Diceros bicornis minor: one gene and its partners. The protein of the gene in region 2 purifies or fractionates together with the protein of the main gene of each other region. This does not show direct contact. Links are inferred from orthologs where the notes say so. Each region holds a gene or a part of one and is shown on either strand. Other genes may lie near its edges.

What was found.
Region 1: the proteins of SIKE1 (region 2) and STRIP2 purify together in Homo sapiens (affinity purification with mass spectrometry; 3 studies listed by BioGRID and IntAct, with this or other methods). This does not show direct contact. The link is inferred for Diceros bicornis minor from reciprocal best matches to the Homo sapiens genes SIKE1 and STRIP2.
Region 3: the proteins of SIKE1 (region 2) and STRIP1 purify together in Homo sapiens (affinity purification with mass spectrometry; 3 studies listed by BioGRID and IntAct, with this or other methods). This does not show direct contact. The link is inferred for Diceros bicornis minor from reciprocal best matches to the Homo sapiens genes SIKE1 and STRIP1.

Annotation. Positions count from the first base shown.
Region 1 is NC_080742.1:78,071,315-78,078,716, forward strand, and holds the start of STRIP2 (striatin-interacting protein 2), read left to right. Parts: upstream 1-4,365; coding exon 4,366-4,494; intron 4,495-7,402. UniProt on the Homo sapiens protein: Plays a role in the regulation of cell morphology and cytoskeletal organization. Required in the control of cell shape. Calmodulin-binding scaffolding protein which is the center of the striatin-interacting phosphatase and kinase (STRIPAK) complexes.
Region 2 is NC_080743.1:47,414,574-47,422,573, forward strand, and holds the start of SIKE1 (suppressor of IKBKE 1), read right to left. Parts: upstream 3,095-8,000; 5' UTR 3,052-3,094; coding exon 2,893-3,051; intron 2,660-2,892; coding exon 2,554-2,659; intron 1,666-2,553; coding exon 1,523-1,665; intron 1-1,522.
Region 3 is NC_080743.1:43,080,092-43,087,564, reverse strand, and holds the start of STRIP1 (striatin-interacting protein 1), read right to left. Parts: upstream 3,031-7,473; coding exon 2,851-3,030; intron 357-2,850; coding exon 287-356; intron 1-286. UniProt on the Homo sapiens protein: Plays a role in the regulation of cell morphology and cytoskeletal organization. Required in the cortical actin filament dynamics and cell shape. Part of the striatin-interacting phosphatase and kinase (STRIPAK) complexes.

The DNA of each region.
Region 1 (7,402 bases), on a different chromosome or scaffold from region 2:
TGGAAAGAAAATAGGCAACACCAGCAAATTGTATGTGGACAAATTCTAAACTATATATATACATACACACACACACACACACACACACACACACACATATATATATATATAATCATCTAGTTCTTGCTGTCATCTTACTGAAAGGAAATAAAACCTCTAAGGATCACCATTTCTGAGAGGCTCTTGGAAATCTTTATGTCTAAGTGATTGATTAGATCAGCAATAATGACTATGTAATCTCAAAAGATAAATAAAATATTCTTCGAGTGGATTCTTGTCTTGAGATTATTCCTTGCTTCTGTTAACTAGGAATTCAGAGATGAGAGAGGTTTCTGGGCAAGAGGCCGAAGAGCCTGCTTCAGGGCAAGGATGTAAAAAGCGGAAGTAGTTACTGAAAGGCACGTTTGAGTGGCCTTAGCCTTGAATTCGTTATTCTGTGGTGGTCCACTCTACCGATAAACATTTCCCCTGACCCGCCGGTTATGTGTGTAAAGAATCTGCTTTCTCAGAACCACTGCCCTGGGGAGTTGAGAAGTATAGCCTTTTTTTTTTTTTTTTGTAAGGAAGATCAGCCCTGAGCTAACATCCATGCTAATCCTCCTCATTTTTTTTTTTTGCTGAGGAAGACCAGCTCTGAGCTAACATCTATTGCCAATCCTCCTCCTTCTTTTTCCCCCCAAAGCCCCAGTAGATAGTTGTATGTCATAGGTGCATATCCTTCTAGTTGCTGTATGTGGGACGCGGCCTCAGCCTGGCCGGACAAGCGGTGCGTCGGTGCACGCCCGGGATCCGAACCCAGGCCGTCAGTAGCGGAGCGCGCGCACTTAACCACTAAGCCATGGGGCCAGCCAGAGAAGTATAGGCTTAAGGAAGAGAAACTAAAGCCGGGTTTTAGGTCCCCCAAGCCCTCTGTGTGCTGCCCTTAGCTGGAGAGCACAGGAAGCCATGTTTTGGGATCAAAAGACCTGATACCCAGGACCTGACTACATCCAACCAAAGAGAAGACAGAAATGAATCTGGCAGAGATTTGTCAGGTTTTGCCTGACTAAATCAGTAACCAGAGAATGAGTTCAACTGCCTGTTCCTTCTCAACTACCAGTAGAGTAGCCATTTTTGAGTAGCCTTCTGATAGCCATCTTCTTTAGTTGACAACCTAAACTAGTTCTACATCTGTATGCAAGATGCAACAAAGAAGTCAGACAATTCCTTGTCTCAGTCTAGGGCCCTACAGCCTCCATTGCCTCATTATACCCACATGTGCCCTTGCTGTGGTGAGGAGGGTGTTCTATGCTATTTCTACTACATTATCCTGGTTGCCCAATATCCTCAAAAACTAGGTGTTTTAAGAATTCCTGCACCTTATTTTTAAGCTTTCTCCTTACTGGTTACTATCTATTTAATCAAGTATCTGACTGTGGTTTAAGTGGAGTGCTTACAGGTGGAAAAGTGTATGTTTGGTCCTTGTAACTATAACTATACCTCAAATTCTCTACCAGCAGCCTCAGAATACCTGAGTTTTGAGACAGGGGCAAGTGGTAGTGTAGGTAGTGTAGGCTCTGCACTGGAGCCATCTCTGCAAAATGGAAAAACTTGTAGACCAGCCCCTGACTAATTAGCTCCCAGGTATATTTATAGGTGCCTCTGTGGTCAATAGTATTGATGACTGTCACATCTTTGTTGACAAATAAGCTCAAAGAATTTGAGTGTGGGCCAATTCCAGGGCCTATAGTTTCAAAGTTTTCAGTTAATCTCTGGTTTCTTGTTACATCTTCCAGGAGTTGTTTCCAGGTATCTTCTTCCTTTTGACAAACTCTGAAAGCCTGGGCCTATACTGAGCAGATAGATGTCGATGTTTACTATCACCCATTCCACTGGGACTGAGGTCTTTCCTCGTGTTGATTCTTTGCAATCTCCATAGCACCAATTTTTCATACCCCTTCTCTGAAAGTGAAGCCAGATGGAGCTCTAGGCTCAGCAATTGGCTTTACATAGAGGCCAGTGGGGCCTTGAGAGCTGTCCTCAAGCCTACTTCCCAATTGAAGATCACTCTGCTCCCTTTGCCCTTGGGATAGGCTGGAACAGGAACAAAACTGGCCACTCCTGTCTGCCACCACTATTGGGGATCCTGCTGATTGACTAGGCTCACAAAAGAAAATACGAATTTCTGACCCAGTCAGTTCTAGAGCTCTGACTGCTTAGGAAGAGAGGTATTGGGAAGAAGGGAGGTAAAATAATTAATTCTTTTATTAAGAAACCCCAATGGGCTGTGCTGTGGCAGGTTTATCACACTGAAGCAGTGATGAGCTAGGCGTGGGTTGTGAATTTTAAAGCAGAGTATGAATCTTTAAGAGTTTAACAAATTATACCCTGAAAAAAGTTCCAAAATCAAATAATGTAGTCCTTGAGCCAAGGACTTTCTTGGAAATTCATATCAATTCAATTCTGTTAAACTAGTGGGTTTCAACTGCAGATTTTTGCCCCCCAGGGGACATTTTGCAATATCTGGAGACACTTTTGGTTGTGACAGCTAGGGGGAGAGTACTACTGGCATCTGGTGAGGAGAGGCCAGGGATTCTGCTAAACGTCCTATAATGCAAGGGACAGCCCTCCACAACAAATAATTTTTCAGTCCATAGTACAGAGACCCTGTTTTAAATATGCACATATGAGGGTGTACAAAAATGAACAAAACTTGGCCCTGCTCTCAAGGAGCTTATTTCCAGGTTGTGGGGTGTGTGTGGGAATGAGAGAGGAAAGGGAAAACGGTGGTGGGTACAGTAAGGAGATGTTGGGGACCAGGGAGAGAAAGGAACTCAGAAAGCTCCAAGAAGTGCTTGCACCCTCTCTCTCTCTCAACTGTCTTGATCTGTCACCTACTGACTAGCAGAGAAAAGTGTGAGGGTGAGATATGGTTAAGAAAGGGACAGAGTTGTCCCTAAGATATAGGAAGGGGCAGTATTTCCTTTGGGCCTCCTACTTTGGGGATATAGTAGAAAATATAAGGATTTTGCATCCAGGCAGAACTGGCATGACACCAACACACCTTGTGGTTGTGGGTTGGGTTGTGGTTGTGGGAGTGGGTTGAGGAGAGTCAAAAGGATGTCTTTCTGGAGGAGGAGGTGATGACTAAATAGAACCTTTAAGGAAGAATAGAGGTTAGCCAAGAGAAGAATGGAAAGTTTCCTCCGGAGAGAACTGCCTATGCAAAGACACTGAGAAAAATAGAAGATGATACCTTGGGAACTGCAAGGAATAATTAATCTCCGTGCGTCCTGGTTTCCTCAACAGTAGTATTGGATTAGTGAAAACAACCTGTCAGAGAGAGGCATGATATGACATCTGGAAAGTGCCTAGTGCAATGCCTGGAACAAAGTAGCAGTTCAACATTATTCCCCCAATCCCACCCATTTGGTCCCACTCACTCCCCTCAGGCTGCTTGTTTGGGGCTTCTGTTACCAACCCAGACTGCCTAAATATTTACTGTAAGTTGCTTTTTAGATAAATTTCTGAACGGGCAGACCACACAGCCTCGTTTGCCCCAGTTAACGCTGAGCCGTTAGGAAGGATCTTAGAGGAAGGAAGGAATGGACTGGGGAGCGGGTGGAGGTGGGGACTTGCTCTCCATTCAACATTTACTGTAGCTCACAGCATGAGGAAGGTGCCCCCCTACAGCAGAGAAAGGCAGATGACCAGGAGCAGCCCTGAAGGGCACCAGCAGTCTCAGTGAAATGAAAACGCCCCACCCCACCCCTCTACCCAGTCTCCCAGCCGAGCCCTCACTCCAGGAGGGATGAATTCTCGTCAGAAATCTCAGCTTTCAGAGACGGCGAGTCCTTCGTTTCTTGCGGTGTCCCCGGCCCCCGGCAGTGCCATCCCTCCCCTGCGACTGAAGCGGCATTTGGGAGGTATGCAGGAGCGGGGATAGAGGTCTGTGGTAGTGGGAAAACGGAGACTGCAGCGGAGCAGGAGGCGGAGATAGAGCTCCCCGAAAAGGTCGCTATTTGGGAGGGGGTGAGTGCTGAGGGACACTGAGTGAGAAGCAAATCAATAATCCGCCTGAGCTCAAGACCCAGAATTCGGGAGGTGGAGCCGGTAGCCAACCCAGGAGGCTACTGCTACCGGCAACGCCGCAGTACTTGGGGGGGAAAAAAAGGAGAAAAAAAAAATCCCTTGAATGAGCCCCCACCTCTTCCTAGTCCCGCTCCGAGAGGTCGAACAGCCAATCGCGCCGCGAGGCGGGGCTGCGGGGAGCGGTCGCAGCCAATAGCTGCGGAGGCGGCGGAGTCTGGCCGCCGGCGCGCGGCGAAGGGGTCGCCCCGGGCAGAGAGCGTAGAGCCGCTGAGGGGAGCCGCGGCTCCGAGCTGCATGGAGGACCTCGCGGCGCCCGGGGCCGGGAGCCCGCCCGCCAGTGGCAACGGCAACGGCAATGGCAAAGGGAAGCCGGCGGCCCCTAAGGGTCGGGAAGCGTTCAGAAGTCAGCGGCGGGAGTCGGAGGTGAGGAGCCCGGAGAGCTTCAGTTGGCGCCGGGAGACGCCCGCGGGCGGGCAGCGGTGGCTGAGGTGGTTCGGCCCCGTCCCCCGCCCGGAGCCCCCGGCGCTCCTCGGGCCACTCCTCGGAACTGGCGCCTGCGGGGTCAGCCGCAGCCTGGACCCGGGGCTCTGCAGCCGCTGACCCCTCTCCGGCCGTCTCCTGCCGCGGGTCGGGGCTTTCTAGCCCTCTGGCCTCCCCTCTAGGGGCGCGAAGATGTAGCGCGAGATCGAGCGTACCAGATACTTTTCAGATATTTGTCTCCCTTAATCGTTGCAGCCCCTTGGAGTGGGGACTCGTATCACCGATTTCCGAGGAGGAAGCAGGCGCGGAGAGGTTAAGGGGCTGGCCTGAGGGGTGGGAGGCCGGGGCTCCGCCGCAGTAAAGACGGCCCGGCGCGGGGGCAGCGCCCTCCCGCCCCGAGGAGTCCAGCGGAGCCGATCCAGATGTGCCGCGTGACTTCTGCCCTGCTCCTGTCCCTGTGTGTTGGCAGGTCCTTTAGGGAGCGCCTTCCGCGGACATCGGGACCCCCGCCTGTAAGGGTTCATGAGACAGGATTCAGGCGGGGGCCGTACAGGAGTGAGTGGATGGAACTGTTCCAGCATACAAACCCACGGATAGGAGTATGAATGTTTGGGTCGCTTCCTCTTCTTCTGAAAAGAAATCCTAACGAGGAAGACGAAAGGAGTGAATTATCGTCACTCCCCCACTCCCTCATCCAGCCACTTTCCATCAACTAGCCAAGAGTAGATGTGGATCTGAGTGGGGATCAGAATAGACGACAAAGTGTCAGGTGTGGAAGGGTCTGTAGGGATCATCTGGTTTTAGCCCTTTCTTTGATGGAAGTAAAAGAGACAGAAGTAACTTGTTCAAAATCATACATCTGGCGTAGTGGCCAGGAGTACAAAGCTTTGGGGTCACTCAGACCAGGTTTTGAATCCCAGCCCTATCGTTTACGCTCTCTGGGACTTTTGGCAAATTGCCAAACCTCTCTTTTCCCCGGTTTTTTCATCCTTAAAATGAGGTTAATGCTATCTACCTCAGAAGGTTGTGATAAGGTCAAAATGCGATAATTGAATGTAAAATGTTAAATTCAGTGCAGGCACAGTGCATGTAATTGGTCAATACATGGTAGCTCTTAGTATTGTATTATCATCATCATCAAGGGGCAGAGCTGGTACTAGAAGCCAGGTCTTAGGTGTCCCAGTCCACAGTTTACCATTTGAATAGTATGTCACAGTTTCCCAAGGGGTTTCATGTATGCTTTCCATTTTGGTACAAACGAGTAGGAATCCATCCCATTTTTTAAAAGAGAGAAGAGGAGGAGGTAAAAAGACTGGCCCAAAGTGACATCACTTTTCAGAGGCAGAGCTCAGCCCTCTTGTCATGCTAGATCGGGGTTCTATTCACCACATCATCTCCCTCCCTACCTCAGTATGAATCTGGCCTTTTAGGGCACCCTGTGCCTTCTTCCCCCATAGAGACATTGTTCTTGCTCAAATGGTTTTTTTTTTGGGGGGGATGACTCATTCATTAATTCAACAATTATCAAGTCCTTTCTATATGCCCAGCACTGTTTTAGGTGCTAGGGATGTAGCAGTGAACAAGGCAAGGTCTTTGCCCTGTGGAGCTAACATTCTAGTTAGGGTGGAGAGACAGGGTATATGCAAGTAAATAAAATAATTTCAGAATGAAATGTTCTTTGGGGGAATTAAAACTCCAGAAATAGGATGCCTTTTCCTTACCTATCGTCTTCCTTCAGGAAAAGGCTGTGGTTGTACTTTACTTTTGCCAGTGAGTTCAGTATCCAGAGACTCATAGCTTTCCACCTGCACTGCAGTTTACCTCCTGATTGTCTGCAGCTGCATTTCATGCTTGGAAATGAAGAACTGCAGTGATGCTCTCCATCTGGGCCCATGGCCTGCCAAAAGGCTGGCTGGAAAGATTAGCTTTCCTCCACCCTACTGCAGCAGGAGAGCTGCGTTTACCTGTCAGCACATCCCCTATCACCACAACACCCAGGTGCCAGACTCAGATGACTGTGTGCTATTCCTTCCATCCCTCCCTTTTGCTTTCCTATGGAAGATAGTCCTCAGGGGTGATGGTTTTCTTTCCTCTCTGGGGCTTCTAAAGAATTACTGGAAGAGAATTACTGTTGGCACAAGTCAAGAGAGCCTCCTCGTACATCACTTGTTTATAGGGGCACTGTTGACCTACCCTCTCCCAATGGTTTAGTGTATGAACATCCTAGCCTAAAAAGGAAGCTAGAGAATAATTGTTTGCTTAATAAAAAGATTCTTTTTTTTTAAATAATTTTATTTATTTATTTTTTTCCCCCAAAGCCCTAGTAGATAGCTGTATGTCATAGCTGCACATCCTTGTAGTTGCTGCATGTGGGACGCGGCCCCAGCATGGCTGGAGAAGCGGTGCGTCGGTGCGCGCCCGGGATCCGAACCCGGACCACCAGCAGCAGAGCACACCTAACCGCTAAGCCACAGGGCCGGCCCCAATAAAAAGATTCTTAACCTAACCAAAGGATTCACCTCAGGCCTCTTTCAGCCAGATCCCCTGGTTTAATTGGTTCTCAAAGTCCTTGACAAAGTTTTAACTGGTTTGTGGCAAAATGAGGAAAATTCAGGGCTTTGAAGTGAGTTTTTCATAAAATGTAGTTCAATACATTAAATTTAAAGGATGTATGCAATTTAAAACAGTTTTTTTCAAACTGTGGAGGGTAACCTGTGAGTTGAGACCAACTTTTTTTTTAAGAAATGGAATAGAAAATATCAGTACATTGCATATAGTAATGGTAAATATTACTTTATTAAACTTTTGTTGCAGTTTTGTGTGTATGTTAGGACATGATGTAAAATTTATT
Region 2 (8,000 bases):
AAAGATCAGTTCTAGGGCCAGCCCCAGTGGCCTATTGGTTGAGTTCAGTGTGCTCCACTTCAGTGGCCCAGGTTCAGTTCCAGGCGTGGACCTACACCACTTGTCTGTCAGTGGCCATGCTGTGGTGGCAGCTCACATACAAAGAGGAAGATTGGCAGCGGATGTTAGCTCAGAGTGAATCTTCCTCAGGAAAAAAAAAAAAAAGATCAATTCTAGTCTAACCAACCACTGCATGTTGGACAATATCTCTAAGTGGCTGTTTAACTTAAATTTGAATACTTTTATTGGCAGGAAGCTTACCACATTCCAAGGTTTCTTATTCTATCTTTGGACATATCTCTTAGCATGTTTTTCATATGAGCTAAACTGTCTCCTTCAAGGTTCAAGTGTTCTCCTCCAGACTACAGAAAATAAACTTTATTTTTCTCTTCCAGATGAATGCCATTCACATATTTAAAATATCCCTGTTCCCTAAGACTTTGGTTAAGTCAGTAAAATTTTTTCAATGGAATCTAAGATAAAACTTATCTTTCATAAATTCCACTGCAGCAAAGAGTGACACGCCAATCTATTAATCCAGGATTAAATTACAGAGTATATGTGAATGTACAATGACAACTATGAAGCACTCTACAAACATAAGGAAAATTACTGGGTCTCCCAAATTAAATCATAAGCAACTGAAGTGTAGAAACTATGCCATATCTATTTTTTTAAAACCATACTTCTGTCTCCTGACAACACAGTATAATGCTATGTAATTCAGTTTAATAAAGGTTTACTGACTGCCTGCTATGTGCTAGGTACTATGTTAGGGATAAAAGATGAATTCATGCTCCTTACAATCAAAGAGCTTACAGTTTAGTGAAATGTACTATAATAACCAAGTATTTACTGAGCACCTTCAACACTAACTGGCATTATGTTTGGTGGAAGAACTAAGCATTCATTAACATGTTGAAGAAAGATCTTGGTGAGGGAGGGAGGAATCTCAGTCTCACTCAAATAAAAGGACCTGAACAACCCTTTACCCTCTTCTTTCTATTCATATCTTTACAAAGCTATAGCAAAATCAACAGCGAATGTGATAGACATGAAAGGAAAACAAGCTTACTTTTCTTAAAAAAACAAGGACACCGGGGCCGGTCCCCGTGGCTTAGCGGTTAAGTGCATGCGCTCCGCTACTGGTGGCCTGGGTTCGGATCCCGGGCGCGTACCGACACACCGCTTGTCCAGCCATGCTGAGGCAGCGTCCCACATACAGCAACTGGCAGGATGGGCAACTATGACATACAACTATCTACTGGGGCTTTGGGGGGAAAAAAGGAGGAGGATTGGCAATAGATGTTAGCTCAGAGCCAGTATTCCTCAGCAAAAAGAGGAGGATTGGCATGGATGTTAGCTCAGGGCTGATCTTCCTCAAAAAAACAAAACAAAACAAAACAAAAACAAGCACACAATCCAAAACAATTTCAAGATTTTAATTCAGTTCACTTAGAATTTATTCATCAAAGTTTCTTACTGCAGAGTGAGACTGGTGAGCTTTCAGGACTGGTTCAGCATCCACTGCTTTTTTAGCAACCATTAATTGTAACATCTGTTTCCGGTACTTGCTCATGATGAGTTCCAAAGCATCCTGATGTTCCTCCAAGGAAACCCATAGCTCTATCAAAAAATAAAATAACTTGGCAGTGATGTCTGAGAGATAACTCCCAAAGCCAAACTCTTAACAGTTGGAATTTTATGACACTCTATGAGATATTGTGAATTCAAAGTTGTAAATCTGCGTTTAGGTCCAAAAAACTCAACAGTTAAGGTCTACGTGAAAAATAACTTTCTGGCTAGTGGCAGCATAGTCTGGCAGAAACAAAATGAGATGTGGAATCAGAAGACATGGGTTTGAGTTCAGTTCTGTGAGTTACTAGCTTAATACTCAAGCAAACCATTTAACCTCTCTGAGCCTATTTTTTATCTATATTGTAATAATAAATACCTGGCTTGCCTACCTCAAAATGAAGATATGAGAATACAATGGGATGATACATGTGAAAGCCCTCTGTAAACTGATATACAAATAACTATTCATAGCCCTATCATAAATAATGTACTCATTCAAGCTTAAGACTACATACCCTGAAGATAAAATTCAGCTCTTCCACTTACACAAGAACCTAAAAAAACCTTCAGTCTTTAGTGTTTATTTCAATTAATATTTAAACATTAAGTTTTAAGCCCTTGAGGATATTAACGCTTTCGTTATGCAAGCCTCCACCTGGGGATGCCTAAATAAGCCACGCAGTAATTCAGCTCTACTAAGCATCTCTTTGATAAGCTGCCTATAAAAACAAAATCAGTCAGATGACATTGAAAAGGGTAATGTAACAAACTTCATTGTTTTGGGCCAGCGCAGTAACTTTTCCTATTAAAAGTACTGACCCGGAAATACATACAGCACGTGCACTTTTGTGAACAGTATGACACTTTTGTAAGAACCTTTGAAATATTACTGGATATGAGAAAATCATAGTAACTACAAAAAAAGTCCTGACTAACCTCTGTTTTCCTGCTGCAAGTCTCTAATCTGTGTATTCTCTTGGGAGAGCAGAATGTGAGGTTTGTATTTGGACAAGTCCTTTATATCGGATGCATCCTCTTGATACTGGACAAACAGAGACAGACTAAGTGCGCCGTCAACAGAACAGCCACAGATGCAAATGAAGAGGCAGGAGTCAGAGCTCCAGGGCAGCATTCTCAGCCCCGATCCCGCAGAAAGGTCTCACCGATGCCCTCTGAGACCAGGAATAAATTCCAGGCCGAGTTTCCATTTTACCTCGCCCTCCATCCCTCAAGTGCCCAGTACCTGAGGGCACGGACCCCTACCCTCTGCCTGACCTGGTCCGGAAGCGCTGTCCCCGCCTCCCGCATAGCGGCTACCCGCCGGTGCAGCGCCGCCGATTGATCCACCAGCGACTCGGCAGCTGCATCATGCTCCCGCAGTCTCTCCAGAAGCGTCTTAGCGTCTGTCAGGATCTTCTCAATGGTGCAGCTCATAGCTGCCACCCGACCCCAGCCCCACCTCTGCTCGCCTACCAGAATCGCTCAGATCCTCCCGCAACGTGTCTCAGCATTATAGACGTCACTTCCAGGTACGCTTAAAAGGCGCCTCGGCAGCTGCGATATGCGCCTGCGCAGTGGCAGCCTAGTCCGGGAGTGACCTGCTTTGACCGGCGGCTTTCTTGCGGCCTCGCCTTGCGGAGTGTCGGAGGCCTGGCCTTGCAATGCCCTTGGTTTCATGTTCCCGCAGCCTGGTGGTCAAGTTCAGTTATGGCTGGGCGGGCTGAGTTTCTCCTTTCCCTACTGGTTTTGATTGATGTAGATTGTTATTCAGTCGTCGTTCTTTTCTTTTTCGTTTAGTTTTTAAAAAATTGTGGTAAAATGCACATAAAATTTACCATCTTAACCATTTTTAAATGTACAGTTCAGTAATATTAAGTGCATTCGCACTCTTGTGCAACCATTACTATCTAACTTCAGAACTCTTCATCTTGCAAAACTGAAACTCTGTACCCGTTAAATACTAATTCCCTATTCTGCCTTCCTCCTAGCCCCTGGCAACCACTATTCTACTTTCTGGCTCTATGGATTTGACTGCTTTAGGTACCTTATGTAGCTGGAATCATATAAATCAGATATGTCGTTTTTGTGACTGGCTTATTTCACTTGGCATAATGTCATTAAGGGTCATTTATGCACATCAGCATTTCCTTTTTAAGACTGAATAATATTCCATCTTATGTATATCACATTTTGTTTATCCATTCATCCATCTATGGACACTTGGGTTGCTTCCACATTTTGACTATTGTGAATAATGCTGCTATGAAGAGAGGTGTACAAATATCTCTTTGAGTCCTTGCTTCCAATTCTTTTTGTTTATACCCAACAGTAGAATTGCTGAGTCATATAGTAATTCTATTTTTAAATATTTTTGAATGACCATACTGTTTTCCACAGTAGCTGCATTTTACATTTTCACCAACAGTGCATAAGGGTTCCAATTTCTCCATGTCCTTGTTGACACTTGCTATTTTCTGTTTTTTGGTTTCTGGGTTTTTTTGCAGGGAAGAAATTCATCCTGAGCTAACATCTGTTGCCAATCTTCTTCTTTTTTTCCCCTCCCCAAATCCCCACTGCATGGTTGTATATCCTAGTTCTAAGTCCTTCTAGTTCTCCTATGTGAGCTGCTGCCACAGCAGGGCAACTGACAGATGGGTGGTGTGGTTCTGTGACTGAGAAACAAACCTGGGTGGCTGAAGCAGTGAGAGCTCCACAATTTTGACCACTAGGCCATCAGGGCTAGCTCTATTTTCTGTTTTTTTGATAGCCATCTTAATGATTGTGAGATGGAGTCATTGCTATTTTCTGCTTGCTTTTTTTTTCCATTTTAATTCAATTAAGAAATTGGAAATAAATTTAACCAGAACAGTGATGACTTTTGTGCTATTTGTTATATGGGTTTATGATTTTACCTTGTCAAGCATGTATGTCAAACATTGTTCTTCTTCATTCATTACTATAATGAATATTTTGGGGGAACCTTCTTTGTTTCAGGCACTGTTTAGTGTCTGGGAATACACCAGAGAATGATACAAAGTCTCTGCTCTTAGGGAGTTTATATTCTAATGGGAGAAAGAGTTCATACTCTTACAAATGATTGAAAGTAATGACAGGATTAGGAGCCTGGTGAGAGGGGCAAGAGTGTCAGAGCAGTAGTGTGAGGTCAGAGAAGTGAGGGGAGAGAACTGAGCTTTTTGCCTTTGTATTCCCAGCAGCTGGCACAATGGAGACATTCAATAATTGTTTGTCAAGAGGGGGATAGGGAACAAATTCAACAAAAATAACAAATCAAGACAACTGACCAACAGGAAAAAAATTAATGCAGAGCCACAGAGGTAAAGAGGTTTCGTTCATTCACTAAAACAAAGCAAAACACTCTTCCTAAGTGATCTCTTTCACTTATTTGCCTTTGACTTCCATTGAGAGATGATGGTTCTCAAATCCGTCTGATCTCATTATCTTTGCTTCTAAACCTGCTCCTCCTCCTGTTTCAGTAAAGAGCACATTCATATACCTCTTTGCCCAAAAAAGAATCCTGGAAGTCATCTTCTATCCTTCCTACTTAGTGTTTACAATTAATCAGTTACCAAAGCAATCTATCTCCTTTATAGCTTTAGGACTTATTTCCTTCTTTGTATTCTCACTGCTATTGGGTATATTGGGCCGTCGTCCTTTCTCACCCAGACAAAGCAACAGTCTTCCAACTGGTCTTCTCCCTACCTCAAGTCGTCTCCTCGTCTACTAACTCTCCCCAAGGATACCACAACCCCTTGCTGCCTTTTCGGTGGCAGGTAATTATTATTCTCTGCCCACCCACGTTAGGGCTGAGAACTAGCCGGCTCATTCTAATTCCCTAATGACACTGCCAAGCAATTACTCTTACTTGCTTGTGTAAAACCTCCGTTTATTTGAAGCTTGTCTCATCCAGCTGGAGAATCTTCTGTCTCTCCTTATTGCTGTCAATTACTGACCTACTACCTTGGGTATTCTCCTTTTTTCATAGAAGATTTGAGGAGCTGGCTTACAATCTTTTTTATTACTTAACATTTTGCTCTCATCTTGGGTGACATTCATGTCCGTGTGGACAATTCATCTAATGTTCTATCCTTCCTTGTCCTCTTCCATTCTAGAGACATTCAATTTATTTGACCATCCATGGCCACACCCTTGATCATTCACTAAAAATTGTTTCTCATCAAAAATTTTAAGCTTTAATATCTAACTCTTTGACTGCAAACTTGGTTTCAATCTATCCAGTTCTTGCAACCCTTTCTGCCACTACTGTCTCTTTGACCTCATCCAGCTCTTTGATTTCTGAATATATCTATATTCTCCCCACCTATCAGACTTTTCTTGTGGTCTAATATTCTTTCCCTGACCAGACTGAGCTCTTGTGATTGGCAATCTGAGCCATCGTCTCTCTGGCACCTCTAATTCTTTAGCACTTTTCTTTTTAGACCAAATGCAAGCAGTAAACTCCAACCCTCGACCAATCTTAGGATTCCAGTAGTGATTAAAAGGGGATACAGAAATAAGGGAGAGTTTTTGTTTCTGCTTTTATTTTGTTTTTATGGACAAATCTTGAGCATGTTTATAGGCTTTATAGGGGAAGGATCCATTAGAGAAAGAGATATAAGAAAGTAGGGGGACATTTAAAGGAGGAAGAACCAGAAGGAGAAGGGACATAGTAGCTACTTAATAAATTTTTGCTGAATATTGATTGGGATGATGGACATAGGGTTAAGAATATAGGTGAAGTTGCTGGACTTGAATAGAAAAGAGACATTTCATTCTCCTTATTTGGAAAGAAAAATAAAAAGGGTAGGTACAACTATGGGTTATAGATGGGGAAACATGAAGATAAAGGAGTTCTAACCTTCAAGCCGTCCCAATACTTCTGTATCCCACCCATCAATAAACCAATAAGATAAGCTCAGGTACCTGTAGTGTTGTTCATGGAAATTAAACAAATTTCCCAAGACCTCTTTTGCTTGTTCTGACTTATTTCCATTTTGATCTAATTTCTATCGGCTCCTGTTTCTTGGCTCCATATCCTCCTTATTATTTCACTCTTACTCTTTGGGTCAGGAAGTGATTTTGGGTTTCCCTACCTTTATTCTCAGCTCTCAGACTGCCCTATCAGCAATTCCACTTTTGTCTCTCTCAGGGTATATACCTTATCCCAGTGATCCTCTGATGATCCAAATGCCAACTCTGACCCACAGGATAATGTTCCTGCCACAGTTACATGAATTCTAGTGGGGAGGGACTTGGAAATTTTACTGGAAATACCTCTTGTAGTACCATGCCCATTGCCATAGCCATACCACACAGATAGGATAACAGGCTTACTCCTGTCCCTGAACCTGTGAAACTCTGCCCAGAGATGTGGATGTACAGGACTCTGGGAGCAGATGGTGGTCCCAATGGTCCACACCAGAGGCAAGGGCAGAGATAACTTGACTTTACCTGGACCCTAGCACCCCCACAGCTCCTTTGAGTCATTGTCCACATATCCATACTGTACCTTGTTGATGCCACCCCTTTGATACTTCTGGAAAAATTTTGCAATAATTCAAAATGCAAATCTTTAGGGACACGTAGAATCTATGGTTAGGAAGTATAGATGTAAAGCATTCCATATTCCGTATTGTTTATTAAATACCCTATTTTGCTCCTTTGTGCTTCTCCACATCGTAAGCTTTGAGCTCTCAGACCAATTTTTTTTCCTGTTGCTGCTAACTAATGGCTTTCTAGGCCTTGGCCTTGAAAAACCACAGACCCTCATAATTACGGGTGAAAGAAATCTCAACAAGATAAGAAGAAATGTTTAGTCTTCTCCTAGAAAGCCAGAAAAGCAGATACTAGTTTGTATCATAAAACTTTCCTTATAAATGTAAATTCTAATTAAGAGACACCCTGACTTAGGAGATTGTTGTTGTGGCCTGTGAAAGTAACCTTTAACATCTAAAAAGTCTGTAATTCTGATTGATTGTCTTACTTAATAATTTGTTGCTCTGGTAATAATATTTAATGTGACATCCCTATTTTCTAAAAGGTAAAATATACTTTGTAGTGGGTTGAATTGTGTCTCCCCAAAAGATATGTCCAACTTAACTGCCAGTACCTGTGAATGTAACCTTACTTGGAAAAAGGATCTTTGCATTTGTAATTATGAAAAGGATCTTCAGATGAGATCATCCTGGATTAGGGTGAACCCTAAATCCAATGACAGGTGTCCTTAAGTGACAGAAAAGGAGAAGACACACAGAGACACACAGGGGAGAACGTCATGTGAAGCCGGAAGCAGAGATTCAGGTAATATGTCTATAAGCCAAGAAACACCAAAGATTGCCTACAACCATGAGAAGCTAGGAGAGAGG
Region 3 (7,473 bases), about 4.3 Mb from region 2:
TAAAGACCAATAAGGAAAAAAACATCCCCAAATAGGGGCCAGCCCGGTGGCGTAGTGGTTAAGTTTGGCACGCTCCAGTTGGGTGGCCCGGGTTCGCAGGCTTGGATCCTGGTGCAGACCTACACCACTCATCAAGCCATGCTGCGGCAGCAGCCCACAAAGAAAATAGAGGAAGACAGGCACAGATGTTAGCTCAGGGCTAATCTTCCTCACCAAAAACAAACAAACAAAAAAACAAATAGAAAAAACAAAACCCAGCCAAATAATATGAAGGTCTATGCTTTACCTGAGAGCTCTGCAGCCCACTTATCAGTGTCAGCATATTCAAACTCGAGGTCTGGTGACTCAGAATAGCCCTGTTGAAAAAAAGAGAGAGAGTGACACAAAAAGTCATTGTGAGTGTTTTCCAAAGGAGGAAACACATATGCTTCCAGATACACTGCTGTGTTACACGACACCATCACCTCCACTCTTCTGATATTTTTTCGCAGTATTTTGTCTCATGGGCGAACTCAGGTCTCCCTATTAAGCCCTCTCGGAGCACCTTGCACTTTTCCTTTAGAGCACTTATCATAACTTATAATTATATACTGGCATGTATACTTGTTTAGTGTCTGCCTCTCCAAGAGACTGCAAGTTCCTTGAGAGTGGGAACTTTGTCCATTTTTCTCATCAATGATTTCACGATGCCCAGCACACTACTTGGCATGAATGAGTGAATGAATAGTTTATACTCAAAAAAATACTTGTTGGATGAATGAACACAAAGCTTCCATGCATTTTGTATAGTGAATGACCATTCTACATGGTGCTAAGATTCCGGAAGCCTCATTTCTTTCTTGCTAGTGGGCTACCAAAAGCTCAAGACAAAAATGAGCATCGACACTCTCAGCCTTCCTGCCTTTTTCTCAAACTTCAGGGAGAAGTGACAGACAGAGTAGGCAGCAGCCAAACAGAATGGCTCCCCTCCCAGACACAGGAGAGAATATGACAAAAAGAATCTTTTTACTGCTGGGGATAGGTGATCACTGAGAATATGCCATCTTGGAAGGCTTGTTCTGTGAAGAGAGAAGAAGTGAAGAAGTCCTCAGGTTTAATCACAATCTACTTGGGAAGACAAAGACCACCCACAAAATGCCCTAACATGCCCACAAACACTGAATGACATGAAGAATTCAACTCCTTATTCAGAGGCAACAGAATGTATACTTTCACAGGTTACTGAACTTATTTCTTCATTTATGGAACAGGGATGACAAAAATCCATCTTGAAGGTTTTTAAGGACTACTCAAAATTATGTAGCGCACAGTGGGCTCTCATCAAGTGTCAGTCTCCCTGTCCTCCAGGCATTGCTCAGGCTCCCAGCCTACTGATTTCAGCTATGACTCCAGAAAGAGCCCAGGGCAACATCAGCATCTCTAAGAAAACGAATTTAGACAGGTGTCTCAGCTTAAATGTGTTTACTGACCGACCTTCTACATTTTCAGTCTATATGGAAATTAAAGGATAGAAAGAGAAATTTAAATGTATCAAAGGGTGTTTATTTGACCATTCATGGCTACTTAGGAAAATTTAAAACTATTTTTAAACTATAACTCCTCTCATAATGAAGGTGGGTTCACCCCCACCACTTTCATAATCCTCTACACTTGAAAAATTATTAAGTAGTCTCCATTGATGTCCCATCACCCCACCAGGCACGGGCTCCTACAAGGTCAGTTTCACTGCTTTTTCAAATAATTCACTTCAAGCTCAAAGTATGTCTACTTTGGACTTGCCAAATTTTGACACGTTTTACCAGAGGTTTGCACTTGCCAACAAAAAACAAAAGCTTGAGAGGAACTGATTTCACAAGTCTAAAGAGAGTACTATCACGCTTTAGTATGACCTGGACATAACGTTATGCCTGGACAACGAGGAATTCCCTCTCATTCTTCAGCGCCTGACTGCTGATCAACCTCTGAGTTGTCTCAGGTGAAGGAGCCTCACAGTAAGCGCTTTAGGAACGTGCTGATTAAGAAGCCCTAAAACGCTGCGACGTGTGTCTTCATTCATGAATTCTACAATGGGAGGCAGTGGGAGTAATTCTTTAACTCGGGGTGAGGTGACTAGTCAGCTCCAAACTATGGTGTCTCCGGACCGGGAGGAACAGCCCACTAGCAAGAGAGGAGGGAATGCTGAGTTCTAATGTACGTTTAAAATGTATATTTCTGATCGGAGTTCAGCATCGGGCGCGCTGGGCACACCAACCACCAGGCACTGTCAAACCATGGCCCGAACCCGCCGTGGCTAAGGTCTGAGTGAACAGGGAAGGTTCCCTCCCTCCTACCCTAGCAGTCTCCGGGCGCGTAGTACTATTAGTGATAATGAGCTCCGTCCGGCTTCGCAGTGCCTGCCAAAGCGTGGCCAGGCCCTTCCCTGCCCACACACGCCGTCCCCCGCGCTGCGGAACCCACAGGACCAGAGGCGATTAGAAGTCGGGGTGCAGCCGCCCGGCCCCCTGCAGCGCACGCAGACCACTGACTCTTCACCCCCGAACTGGGAGCGGGGCGGCTTCCCCAGGGGCTGGGGCCCCGAGGCCGCGCCCACAGCCCCAGCCCCAGAGGAGCAGTCACCGGCTCCGGAGGTTCTCCCGGGCGGCGGAGCTCGGGGCGGGGACCCCGGCCTCGCGCCCCCGGCCCCGGGGATGCCAGCCGTGCTTCCTGCTCCTCTCGCTGTAAAATAACAAGTCCCCTGCCGGGCCCTACCGAACCCTCTGAGAAGCCCACCTCGGATCAGAGAGCGGCCCCGGACCCGGGCCACCCGCCGCCGCCGCCCGCCGCTAGCCTCGCCCCCCCGAAGCTCCTGACCTCCGAGTCTTTGCGCTGGTTGCGGTTGAACTCTCGGGCTTTGCCCCCAGGCAGCAGACCCCCGGCGGCCCGCGGTGCCCCGGGTGGAGGCTGCGCGGTTGCTGGCGGCGGAGGTGGCGGCGGCTGGGGCTGCTTATTGTTCAAGATCAGCGAGCCGGGTCCGCCGGCTGCCGGCTCCATCTTGGCTGCTCCACACCCCCGGCTTAATTCGCGGACAGTAGCCGCGATACAACTCTCGCGTGATTTCCTCCAGGAACGCTCCCTGGTCGCCATATTAAGTGTGGCGGCAAGTGCCGGAAGCCATATTGACTGCCCAACACCTCGTGAGATTCTGCGTGAAACGTTATTCTTCTCGGGCCAGTTCGTTTCCACTGCTTTTTCAGTACCGGCTTAGTTGTTTTATTTGTGCGGCCTCCCTTAGCTCCTTCAATCAGTTTAGTCTCCCTTTCCTTTCTTTAACATCGTTTTGCACTTGTCGCTGTTACAGCCCTGTTGAAAGCTTAGGGGATACAGTAGTGAACAAAATGGACACCATCCCAGTCTTCACGAGTTGACATCTACTTGGAGAGGTATGCTAAGCAAATGAATAAATCAATAAAACAATTACAGTTGTGACAAATATTTATTCATCGTTCATTCAAAAAACATTTAGTGAATGTCTTCTAGCTCCAGGTAGTGCGATAGAAGGGAGAATAAATCAAGTTCCTGCCCTCATGGTGCATAACATACTGCCTGGTGGGAGAGACAAACAGTGAGCACGCAAATATAATGTTAGACAAACAGGTGCTGAGAAGAAACAAAAAGAAGTGTAAGGGATTAGAAGGTGGCAGCGCTGGTGGGGGCGGGGGATGGCTATATTAGGCTGCCCCAGGAAGGCAGGCCTGAGAGTGCGATTTTGAATGAGTTCTGAAAGAAGTGAGAGCGGTGCAGAGATCCACAGAGGCAACACGGGCAGAGGGACCAGATAACTGCAGAGGCTCTGGGTTAGTGTGCTAAGAACTGAGTGAGCCAGGGGAAGAATAGTAGGAGATGAGGGCCAGGTAATGCATGAGCCAGATAAATGCAGGGCCTTAAAAGTCATGGAAAGGAGTTTGGATTTTATTCTAAGTGAAATGGGAAACAATGAGAGGATGTTAACCAGGAGGGTGTCATGGTCTGATGTTTAAAAGACCAATCTGGCTGCTTTTGGAGAAGGGATTGGAGAGTTGCAAGAGTAGGTGAGGGTAATCGGGTTAGGAGACTATATAGATGGAAATAATAGTGCCTTGCATCAGGGTGGAGTTTTGGGTTGATATGATATTTTTATATTGTGTAAATAGATTCAACAGGATTTGCTGAAAGGCTGGAATCCTATCAGCAGGATGGAGAGGAATAAAGGATGAGTCCTAGATTTTTGGCTTGAGCAAGTGGGTGGGTGGTTGTATTACTTATTAAAATAAAGAAGTCTGGGAGAAAAAAAACAGGTTGAGGGAGAAGATCAAGATTTCTGTTTGGGACATGTCATATTTGAGATGCCCGTTAGACATCTTAGAGGTGATGTGTAATAATTACGCGTTACTGTGCTGTGAGATCCTTAAAGGCATTTTATTATCTTTGTCTCTCCAGAACTACATCTTGGCTGCTCCACACTCCCAGCTCAATTCTAGGAAAGTCGCTGTGGTGCAACTTTTGCATGATTTCTACCAAGGTCCCACCTAGTAGGTGCTTTAAAAGTCTTTTTTTGTAAAATAATGAATAAATCCAAAACCACCATGTTGCTACTTCCTCCTACCTAGCTTCCTGTTCTTTGCCTCTATTCCTTCTCAAATCTAGTCATACACTTTGTAAATTAGCATTTCATCCAAACTAGGCTGGGCCAAGCTGATAGGAAAAACTAAGGAATTTGCAGGAAAAGGACCAGTGCTGAGAGGCTTCTTAGATAAAATCAGCAAATCCCACACGACCCAACACACAAATGATGTTTAGTTTTAGTGACCACAGTTTGGACAAGTTCTAAGACTGACCTACCATAAGCTCTATCATCTGGGAAAAAAAAATTTAGACCTTTAAACACTGTACACTGCTTCAGCTACATTCAGAACAAGAAAGGTTTGGGTTCAGCAATTCCACTTGTAGTAATAAATCCTAAGAAAATAATCAAAGATTTAGACAAAGATATATGTATGATGATGTTCCAGGCAGTGGTATTTTCAATAGTGTAAAGTTGCGACCAACCTAATCTGAGAAATAGCCAATAAGAAAATGGCTAACTAAATAATGGGGTATGCATAAGATTGAATATAGAGAAGCCATTAATATTTGTGTTTAATATTAAGAATTTTTAGTGACATGGCAAAATGCTTATGATATAATTGAATGTACAATTGGTTCTGTGTGTGTGTGTGTGTGTGTGTGTGTGTCTATGTCTATGTGTAGAAAAGAGACTGGAAGGAAATATACCAGAAACTTAGTAGGTTTTATTTCTGGATGTTGGAAACATAGGTTATTTTCATTTCCTTCTTTATACTTTTCTGTGTTCTTGGAATTTTTATAATCAATGTGCTATTTTTATTAAGGTATAATTTATACTCAATAAACTGCACATGTTCAAAGTATACAATTTGATGTATTTTGACATATGTAAACACCATAAAATCATGACCACAATCAAAATAATGAACATATCCATCACCCCCAAAAGTTGCCTGTGCCCCTTGGTAATCCTCCCTTCTACTCATTACTGTGCCCCTCTCTCATTTCTAGTTAACCACTGATAAGCTTTCTGACACTTAGATTAGTTTGCATATTCTCCAATTTTACATAAACAGAATCATACAATATGTATTCTTTTTTGTCTGAATTCTTTCACTCAACGCAGTTATTTTGAAATTCATCCATCTTGTTACATGATATTAATAGTTCATAAATAGCATCCCATTGTTTATCCAGTCACCTGTTAACAGACATGTGGGTTGCTTCCAGTTGTTCTGGCTTGTTCAAACTTAATATTGAGAGGTAACAAGCCCTTTTTATAAAAACTGTCTGAGCCTGTGTGGAAACCTTTCCTGAATGAAATGCAGTGTCTCCAAGCTGTGACTAGCTCAAGAATTCTAAATAGGAGAGCTACTTATTTTATTTATTTATTTTTTTGTGAGGAAGATCAGCCCTGAGCTAACATCTGCCAATCCTACTCTTTTTGCTGAGGAAGACTGGCCCTGAGCTGACATCCGTGCCCATATTCCTCCACTTTATGTGGGACGCCGCCACAGCATGGCCTGACAAGCAGTGCGTCAGTGCATGCCCGGGATCTGAACCCAGGCCGCCAGCAGTGGAGCACGCGCACTTAACAGCTATGCCACTGGGCCGGCCCAGGAGAGCTACTTAAATTGGCATCACTTTTGAGTCCCAAAGAGTCCTCCCTTTACTCTGGCAAAAACTCCTTGAACTATACTCCATTTGGCTTCTGGTAGGAAAAAGGATTCCAAATGTGAAGGAGCTGAAGCACAGCTGGAGAACTCACTCTTCTCCATTTGCTAAGAAACTTGCAGAAAAGCACAGCCCCATAGAGGGTAGAAGTTGCAGAAACGCCTTCATGCAGTTCTTTTCCTTCTTTCCTCATCTGTAAAATGAGGATAATCCCACCTGTCTTATGAGGCTATGGATCAAATGAGCTAATTTATGTGAAATCATTTTGAAAACTGTAAAGCATTGTTTTTTCAAAAAAGAGAATTATTATTACCAAGAGGTGAAGCCTAAGGTGAGAAGGCCCTTCCTTCACCATGAGCAGTCATGGTTCAAGAGACTGGAAGTGAAATGTTATATTTGAGACATTGTAGCATTGCAAGGGCTCCACCGAGAACAGGGTGGTTGTTCCAGCGGGCTCTGTTGAAGGAAATTGGCACATACTGTGTTCTTATAGGATGTCAGGTACTGGGCAAGATGTTTCACATCCATCCATACCTGAGTGCGTGCTGGCAGACAAAGTGAGCCTGTTTCTGGCATTTTCCATCTTAGCCCTGGTCAAGATATTGCTAGTCACTGAAATGCTCAATATTAAAGTTATGACTCCTGGAGCATCTATGGGCAGATCTTCCCCTCTAGTTGTAGTGCCATGTGGAGTTCTCTCCATTAATGACTATGAGAAGAGGAAAAGATTAATAATATTTTAGGTAGGTGGTTAATAGGGCAAATATCATTAATCCTATCTTCCAAAGGAATCAGTCAGCTTAACTCTGTCCCAGGTCGGATTACTTTATAACCTCCTAGCCTTCTTACATATAGATTGGATTAGTCAAAAGAGGACCCAAATATACATCCAGTGGCTGATTTGACATCTCACGTGGAAGTCTAATGGGCGTTTCAAACTTAATATGCTACAGACAGAACTCTGTATTCTCCCTTTCTTGCGCCAAAATCTGCTCTTCTCCTGCTTTTCCTTAGGATCTAAATAAATGGTATTACCGACTACCCATTTTTCTCAAGGCAAAACCTAGGACACATCCTTGATTCCTCTCTTCTTCACCCCTCACATCTAGTTCACCAGTGACTCTCTCACCAAAACATATTCTGGAGCTCCCTATTCATGACCATTGCCACTCTAGTCTTCCCCACTTCCTCTCCTGGTACCCTATAACCAGTTCTCCT